Cricetulus griseus: one gene and its partner. The protein of the gene in region 1 interacts with the protein of each later gene in a biochemical or structural test. Links are inferred from orthologs where the notes say so. Each region holds a gene or a part of one and is shown on either strand. Other genes may lie near its edges.

Region 1 (3,643 bases):
AATGGTCTAATGAAAAGCTAGACAGAAGAGGGATAGGTGGGGCTAGTATTCAGAGAGAATAAGTAGTAGGTGGAACCCAGGCTTGAGAGAGAAGAGAATGGGTGAGAAAGACCAGACAGACAGACACAGAGGAAGCAGGAAAAGTAGGACATGCAGAATGAAAGGCAAAAAGCCCCGAGGCAAAACATAGATGAAGAGAAACAGGTTGAATTAAGTTATAAGACCTAGTAGGACAAGAATAAGGCTGAACATTGATAACTAATAAGTTTCCACATCATTTGGGATCTGGTTAGCCACCCAGAGAAAGCCTGATACACTTCTTTTGCTGCATGGGGGTCCTTTCATGTTGCTCCCACCCCATCCAACCACCATACATCTAGAGGTCTGTCCAAGAAGGGGGGTCTCCACTTCATGTACCAAACACTACCCAAACATTATATCACATGCATGCACCTTGTGATCCCTAGTTGTCCAGGGGTACAGGTGGAGTCACCTTCCTCCCCTTGAGTCACCAAGGTTCTGGGGGCCCCAGTCAGCCTTACATGGGTTTGTGAAAGCTGCTCCTTGCTCTGAGCCACGAAGGGCTGCTCTGGGCTCTCCCTGTCTGCCAGGACACCTGAAAGGAAGAGCTGTGTGTTGGGGGGAGGCATTTGGCATGGCCACCACCTCCCTCTGCTAACAGCCCCACTAGCACTAGTCCTTATGAGCTGGGATCCTCAGGCAAGTCCAGTGGAGACTGCATTTCCTAAGACAGGGACAGGCTGAGCCAGCTTTTGGCTGCCAGGAGTACTCAACAGGGCTCCTACCATCACTCACCCACCCACACCTTTCAAGTTGACTGTCACCAAACATACAAGGGTGGATGGGTAGGAAAGACTCTTGGTCTCCAGGACAGTTTGCTCATGCATGTCCCAGGCCATGTTCCTGTTGGCTTGGCAACAGGAACATCTCCTTTATGTGCCTAGTGGTGATCTCAGGACCTCTGGAGGTGAGAGCAAGTACACTATATTAGTTAGACCAGACTAGGTGGGAAGAGCACGGCTCAAGTCTCCAGGTAGGTGTCCAGGGAGGGCTATGAACCTCAAGAAACAGTTATACCTCAAGAAACAGTTATACTCAGAGTACGAGAGCAACCAGCAGACCTATCCCCTACCCCTCTCATTTTCATGAACTCCTGGCATGCTTTTCAGGGAGCTGGCTGTTCTTGGGTTCTCCTCCTTTTGTGCCCACATGGAGCTCAGTGGCCTCAACTTGGTTCCTGGGGGCTACAGTGGGTGAGCCACCTCTACACTTCTCCATCCGCACCACTTGTTCCCCTTTTGCCTTTGGTTAAAGCCCGGGGTGGAGGAAGTCTGTCTAACTTCTCACGAAAGCTCTCAGGATTCCTCCTCCCTGTACCAGACCCCCACCTCCTACCTCCAGCTACTTCAGGACAGTGTTCTCACCAGCTCCCCCAACTGTCACCCCCAGGACTAATGAGCCAACACTCAGATCAGAGGAGAGTCCTGTTTGGCAGCCTGCTACTGTGGATAGCATACCCCTATCTCCTTGCTTGCTGCTCTGTCCATAGCACCATCTCTTACTTCCTCACTGAGCACACCTGGATACTGGCTAGTATATCCCTCTGCCCTCTGAGCCACAGACCCTGAGACCTAAGCCCCATGTTCAAATCAGATTCCTTATTCTCTGGGTGTGTTAGCCTAAAAATTTAGCCCTTCACCACTGCCATTCCGTGCCTCAGTTCTTCCGTCCCTGGAGTGGTGACTACTGAGACAGAGTAAGTCACACAACTCTGTGTGCTAAGGATGGGCCAGGGCTCTGGGAGGCCAGGAGACTACAGCCCAGGTGCCTTAGGGGTAGGGGAGGTTCTGGAAGAGCATGGTACCCCCCCTCCTCACCTTTGTCTGAGAGCTGGGCATCCTCCTCCAGATCCTGAGGCAGTGAGAGCTTCCAGACAGAGACATGCCACCCAGTTAGGCCATGGTACAAGCCACCATTGTCCTTCCAGTGGCCGACCCCACTGCCCACTTGACTTTAGCTTCTCAGTTGGTACAGCCATCACTGTCACCCCTCTGCACAGAGATCCTCAGAGACTCAGTGCCAGCCAGGCCAACGGTCAAAGGGAACCCTAGCATAAAGTTCCTGTCCTAAGAGGCCAGGCTGTGGGCATTGGATGGTGCCTCACTTTGCTCACAAACAAAGGCCTCAGAATTTGGTCAGCACTCTTCCCTGTATCCAACCCAAAAGGAGAGAGAAGGGACAGCCCAGTTCAGGTGAACAGGACCATGTGGGAGATGAGTGTGGGGTCAGAGGGAGGTTGCAGGCCTGGAAGAGGCCCACTCTGTGCCCACCCATTGGATCACACTCACCTCCTGGGAGTTCCTGGGTGAAGTGTCCTCCAGGTCAGAGCTCTGTAGCCACAGAAAAGGGAATTGGTCAGTGGGCTACAGGGTTCTAAGCACCTGGGCAGGGGGTGTGCAAGGCATGGTGAGGGCTCCATCCTCTAGGCAGGCCCTGCATGCTCAGTCATGCCCGTACGTCTCTTCAGGACCCTGCCCAAAACATCTGTCTTTCTTAATTCTACTCTACTAAGCCACCTGAATGATCAAGGCCGCTGTCCTATGTGCTGACTGGACCTTGAGTTACATATATGTCTATCACTGACATGAGGAGCTCCAAAGAGGAAAAAGAACTCAGGAAGGCCCAGGCATTTTTTGGAAGCCACAAGCAGGTCACCAGCCGTGCCAGGTTAGGAATGGGGATGCCCCTAGGCTGCATGATCCCTCTTGGAATCTTGCCCTGACCCCATGTCCTCCCCAGTTCCCTCACTTCCCAGACCGCCCAAGATACAGCAGACAGGGAGACCTACCAGGATGAGCATGTCCAGCTGCTGCTGCTTGAGTCTGCCCTCGGCGGCCACTAACCGGCCCTCACTCTGGAACAACTGCAGCTGCAACTCGTCTGCCTTCTCACTCAGCTCTCGAACCTGCTTTCGAAGCTCGTCTTTGTCCTGAAAGCTCTGGGCACACTGTGCATGCAGCTCTTCCCTCGAGGCCATAGCCTGTAGGGACAAGAGAGGGCACACCCTCATTAAGAGACCTGGTTAGTGGTGCTCTTGGCTTTTATTTGGCAGTACAAACGGCAGCCTCTACTAAAGGTCCTGACTGGATGTTTGCCACCCTGTTGTGCAGTTGGAGTTGCTGAACTGGAGGGGTTCTCAAAGCAGTCGGGGCTCTCAGTACAGAAGAACAGACACTGGGTGGGGCAACACATACCCAGCATCCTTGCATTTGGGAGGCAGAAGCAGGATCAGTAGTTCAAGGTCGTCTTTGGACATACTTTGAGTCAAGGCTACATAAGACACTGTCTCAGAACAATCAAAAATAAATAAAATTAATTTAAAAAGAAAAACTCCAAAAAGAAGCAGCTGAAATGACCATGGCCAACACTCAAGATAGTTCCTAGGGAAGTCCAACCAAGAAGTCAAACATCCCTAGTCAGTATGTGTCTCTGTCCCACCCATGTGGCATGTTTTCAAGTTCTGGATGCATCTTGACATCAAGAATATGATCACTGGGCGGTGGTGGCACACGCCTTTAATCCCACCACTGGGGAGGCAGAGGCAGGCGGATCTCTGTGAGTT
Region 2 (4,276 bases), on another chromosome or scaffold:
AGGGGTGTCTCCTTCTCAGGTGAGAGAGGTGTGGCTGGAAGTTTAGCCAGCAGGGCACATGCATTCTCCAGAGATCTCAGGAGGAGGAAGGAGGGAACAGGTGATGTTGGTCCTACCCTGGCTAGCCCTTCAAGTAAGTTCTTTCCAGGTAAGCCTCAGCAAGGTCCAGGCAGGGAATGAAGAACTCACTACTCCAAAGTTAGCTGACCCCTTTTTTTTTTTTCAAGATAGGGTTTCTCTGGGTAACCCAGGCTATCCTGGAACTTACTCTGTAGACAGACTGGCCTAGAGCTCACAGAGATCTTCCTGCCTCTTTCTCCTGAGTGCTGGAACTAAAAGGTATGCACCACCACTGCCATGCTTTTTTTTGCCATGCTTTTTTTTTTTTAAATAAAGTAAAAACATCTTCCACTTCTGAATCCTCTAGTTTGGGCCAGCTTAGACCAAGCTAGGTCATTCATTCATTCACTCATTCATTCATCCACCATGTCGGGGAGGCAATAAACTACCAAGGAAACCCAAAGCCAGGGAGGATAATTGCTGGATTGAAATAGGTCAGCTTGTAAAAAGGATTCAAACGAGCCTGGGAATCACTTTGTTAAATCAACTTAAGGGGGTATCTTTCCTTCAAGATTTCTCCAAGCCTTTAGCAGGTAAATGTGTAACCTGTAACCGAGATTTGTCTAATGGGGAGGCTGTGGGAGATATGGTGTATTATCCCAATAAAGCTGATCTCGGTTGGAATGCTTCCTTTTAAAGTCAGCAGCTAATTGCTCTTGCAGAGGACCTGGGTTTGGTTCCCAGCATCCAGTGATGACTCCAGTTCCAGGGGATCTGACACCTTCTTCTGTCCTCTTGGGTACCACACATGTTCATTATGTGCATACATACATGCAGGCAAATGGCAGATAGTCATATACATAGGATGTGTATGTAACTATATTTCTCTATATGTGCATTTCCCTTTCTATAAAAGCATATATATGTATGTGTATACATACGTACATACATGCTTGTCAGTGACAACAGGGAGGTTTAGGGGAGATTGACTGCAGTTGGAGGCTGTATTCAATCGAATACTCAAAGATTTTCATGTAGATGACAGTCAACAGTGGTCATCAAGAGGCCCTGTCTAGCCCTGGCCTGTCTTCACCTTCCCCAATCACCTTTGAGGCTAAGTCTCCAAATCTTGAAGTTTCATTTCCCAGTTCCACTCTCAATTGGCCCCTTCTCGGGTTTAAATCCAAAACGGCTCTTGCCATATTTGAACTGGATTCCCAACCTTAGATACTCACACACCTTGACCTAACCCCTTGGCATCCAAATCTGCCCTCTGGGCAATTTGCATGTCTTAAACTTAACCCCCACCTGCTTGGCACAGCCAAGGCCCGATTCTCACTCTAGATCTCTATGAACACCTGGAGCAGCAAGCCGCACCCCACAATGCCCCCAAACCTGCCACCGTGGCTGCATTTAGAATAGCACATTTCCCATCTCCCCACGCCGCGCTAGCTGTGACAGTGGTCCTGCCCTAGCCCGTAGGAGCCGATGTCTCTCATTCTGCCTCAGCCAGCATCTGGTCCAGCTGTGACTCCCTCTCTACCCATCGTTCCCACCCCACTCTGGATCTGTCTCCGAGGCATGGACTCCCACCCCAGATCTGTCTCAAGCCCATTCGACAGAGAGATGCCCGAGGGCCACGCCCCCTTCCCCGCCCCTCACCGCAACCACGCCCCTCTGGCATTAAGTCGGCCTGTGTACCCCCTGCCCCCTACTGGAACCCTGACCCCACCCACGCCCCGCCTGCCAGCCACGCACCTGCAACTCCTCGAAGGCGTCGTCGATGCCGGTGACCTGGTGCTGCTCGTGCAGCGCGGGCTCGTCACAGAAGAAGCAGAGCAGCGCGCGGTCCGTGAGGCAGAAGAGCTTGACCTTGTCATGCGCCTGGCAGGGTCGCGCAGCGCGGCGCGCGTTGAGGATGGCGTCCAGCGGGAAGGCGCTGTAGCGCTCCACGATGTTGGCCAGCTTGAGGCTGGGCGCGAGCGCGGGCTCGGCGAACGTGCGCCGGCACTCCGGGCAGTCGCGGGCGCCCTGTGCCTCCTGCCGCACCCAGTGTTCGGTGATGCAGCGGCGGCAGAAGTAGTGCTCGCAGCCCAGGCTCACCGGGTCCTGGTAGATGCTCAGGCAGATGGAGCACAGCAGCTCGTCCTTGAGGCTGCACGCCATGGCGCCGGGGGCGGTGCGGAGCGGAGCCCGGGAGGCTGGCAGCCGGCGCGGCACGATCGGGGGCGGTACCCGGGGGCCAGGCCCACGGGGGCACGGACGACAGGCGCCTGGGAGCGCGGGGGGCGCTGTCTGCGACGCGGGGGGCACGGTGGCTCGGTGCCGAGTAGGGGCCACCAGGGATGCGAGCCCCGGAGCTCGGTTTCGAGGTACTAGGTGGCCACCAGCGATGGGCGCTGGAGGAGAGAGGCCGAGGGCGTCCCAAGGAAGGGGCTCCAGGCGAGGAGGGTCTAGAGGACCAGACAGTCCCAAGGGATAGGTGCTGCGAGGAGGAGATCCCGAAGGGGGACGGAGGCCACGGTGGGGCTGGAATCCTGGGACCCGGGCAGCTCTGAGAGCGGGGCGAGCTGGGGATGGGGAATTCTGCGGGACAGAGCAGCCAGACTCAGCCGCACCGCGGCTTTGCCCGGCAGAGCAGAGGAGGGGTGCCGGCCCGCTCAGCTGCCCGACCCTGGCCGCAGATCCCGGCCCCGCGCGGCCCCTTACCCGAACCAGCTCAGCGGCCACAGCTTCGGTCCAGCGCAGCCTCTCAACCCGGAACCAGCCGAGCCGAGCTGCCCGGTGCCCAGGCTCCCTCTCCGCCCCCACGGGCGGGACCCAAGGTACTCCGCCCCCACGGCGGGCGGGGGAGGGGCGGGGCCTCCCTGGCCTCCACTGTGCTCCTGGTCCGCAGGGACATGAAAACCAGCTGTTTCTTTCTGGGTCTGCACAGCTGCCAGGTTTGCATAGGGTTATGGCGACAGGGGACGGGTGGCCAGCGCCTAAGTAAGGACCTTCTCAATGAACAATCAATTTTTGGGTCATCAAGATTTGAGGAAAATAATACTGAGTATTAAGACAAGAAGACGCTGTGTAGTCTGAATGTAATATAACGTTTGCATAGATTGTAGGTATAAAATTGGAGACGGCTTAGACTAAGTTCAAAGCTACCACACACTGAAACCCTCAGGTCCTATTTCCTCTTCACTTGAATCCTGGCTAATGTGTGGCCTCAAGGGTTCTTGACATTCATCAAATGTTTCTTCATTGCTGCGTGTGTGTGTGTGTGTGTGTGTGTGTGTGTGTGTGTGTGTGTGTGTGTGTGTGTGGTGTGGTGAGGAAAAAGTGTAATGGGAGATCTTGTCTTTTGTGCCAGATAGAGGGGAGGTAAGGGATTTCTAAGCAGCTGTGTGTGTGTGAGGGGGGGGAAGGAAGGGAAGAGTGAGAGGGGGGAGAGGGAGAGAGAAAGAGAGAGGGAGAGGGAGAGAGAAAGAGAGAGGGAGAGAGAAAGAGGGAAAGAGAGGGGGAGAGGGAGAGAGAGAAGAGGGAGAGAGAGAGAGGAGGGGAGAGAGGGAGAGAGAGAGGAGGGAGAGAGAGAGGAGGGGAGAGAGAAAAAGGGAGAGAGAGAAGAGGGAGAGAGAGGAGGGGAGAGAGAGAGAAGAGAGAGGAGAGGAGAGAGAGAGAGAGAAAGAGAGAGAGAGAGAGAGAGAGAGAGAGAGAGAGAGAGAGAGAGAGCAAACACAGCGGCATGAAAGGGAAGCACACTGGGTGTCCATGCTGTTGGGCTGGGATTGGAAGGTGAAAGGTGTAGAGGACTTTGTGAAGAATTCATTGAAGGCACTGGGCTTCCAAGCAGGGAAATGACCTGCCTTGGTTTGGGTTTCTTGAAGTGATGGATACTCATTACATCATCAGGACAGAGAAGGCAGGGATCCTTTCCCTTGCTTGTGGTGAGGCTTGCAGGAGGAAGGAAAGGCTGGGCCCTGGGGAGGTAGTGGCTGTCCTAGTGCCTGCAAGAGGTCAGCTCTGAGTTCAGCTGCTGACTGTGGGTCAGGAGAAGGCCATCAGATTAAAAATAGATAGACACTATGAAAAGTGGTGGTGGATAAAAGGGGATGATGGAGAGGACCTAGAGACATGAGCAAAGGTTTATTCTCCCCAGACAGGGCACCCAAGGTATAGTGAACCATCGAGTTTATTGGAATTAGTTACAAGGGCAGGGGTGACTCAAAGG

Evidence for each region.
Region 2: of the proteins of Card9 (region 1) and Trim62, one has a biochemical effect on the other in vitro, tested with the Homo sapiens proteins (4 studies listed by BioGRID, with this or other methods). The link is inferred for Cricetulus griseus from reciprocal best matches to the Homo sapiens genes CARD9 and TRIM62.

Annotation. Positions count from the first base shown.
Region 1 is NC_048599.1:137,740,675-137,744,317, forward strand, and holds part of Card9 (caspase recruitment domain-containing protein 9), read right to left. Parts: intron 3,062-3,643; coding exon 2,870-3,061; intron 2,412-2,869; coding exon 2,370-2,411; intron 1,948-2,369; coding exon 1,899-1,947; intron 617-1,898; coding exon 543-616; intron 1-542. UniProt on the Homo sapiens protein: Adapter protein that plays a key role in innate immune response against fungi by forming signaling complexes downstream of C-type lectin receptors.
Region 2 is NC_048595.1:24,132,372-24,136,647, forward strand, and holds the start of Trim62 (E3 ubiquitin-protein ligase TRIM62), read right to left. Parts: upstream 2,881-4,276; 5' UTR 2,770-2,880; exon of another isoform or gene 2,647-2,769; 5' UTR 2,227-2,646; coding exon 1,819-2,226; intron 1-1,818. UniProt on the Homo sapiens protein: E3 ubiquitin ligase that plays a role in antifungal immunity by mediating 'Lys-27'-linked ubiquitination of CARD9 downstream of C-type lectin receptors; leading to CARD9 activation, followed by activation of NF-kappa-B and MAP kinase p38 pathways.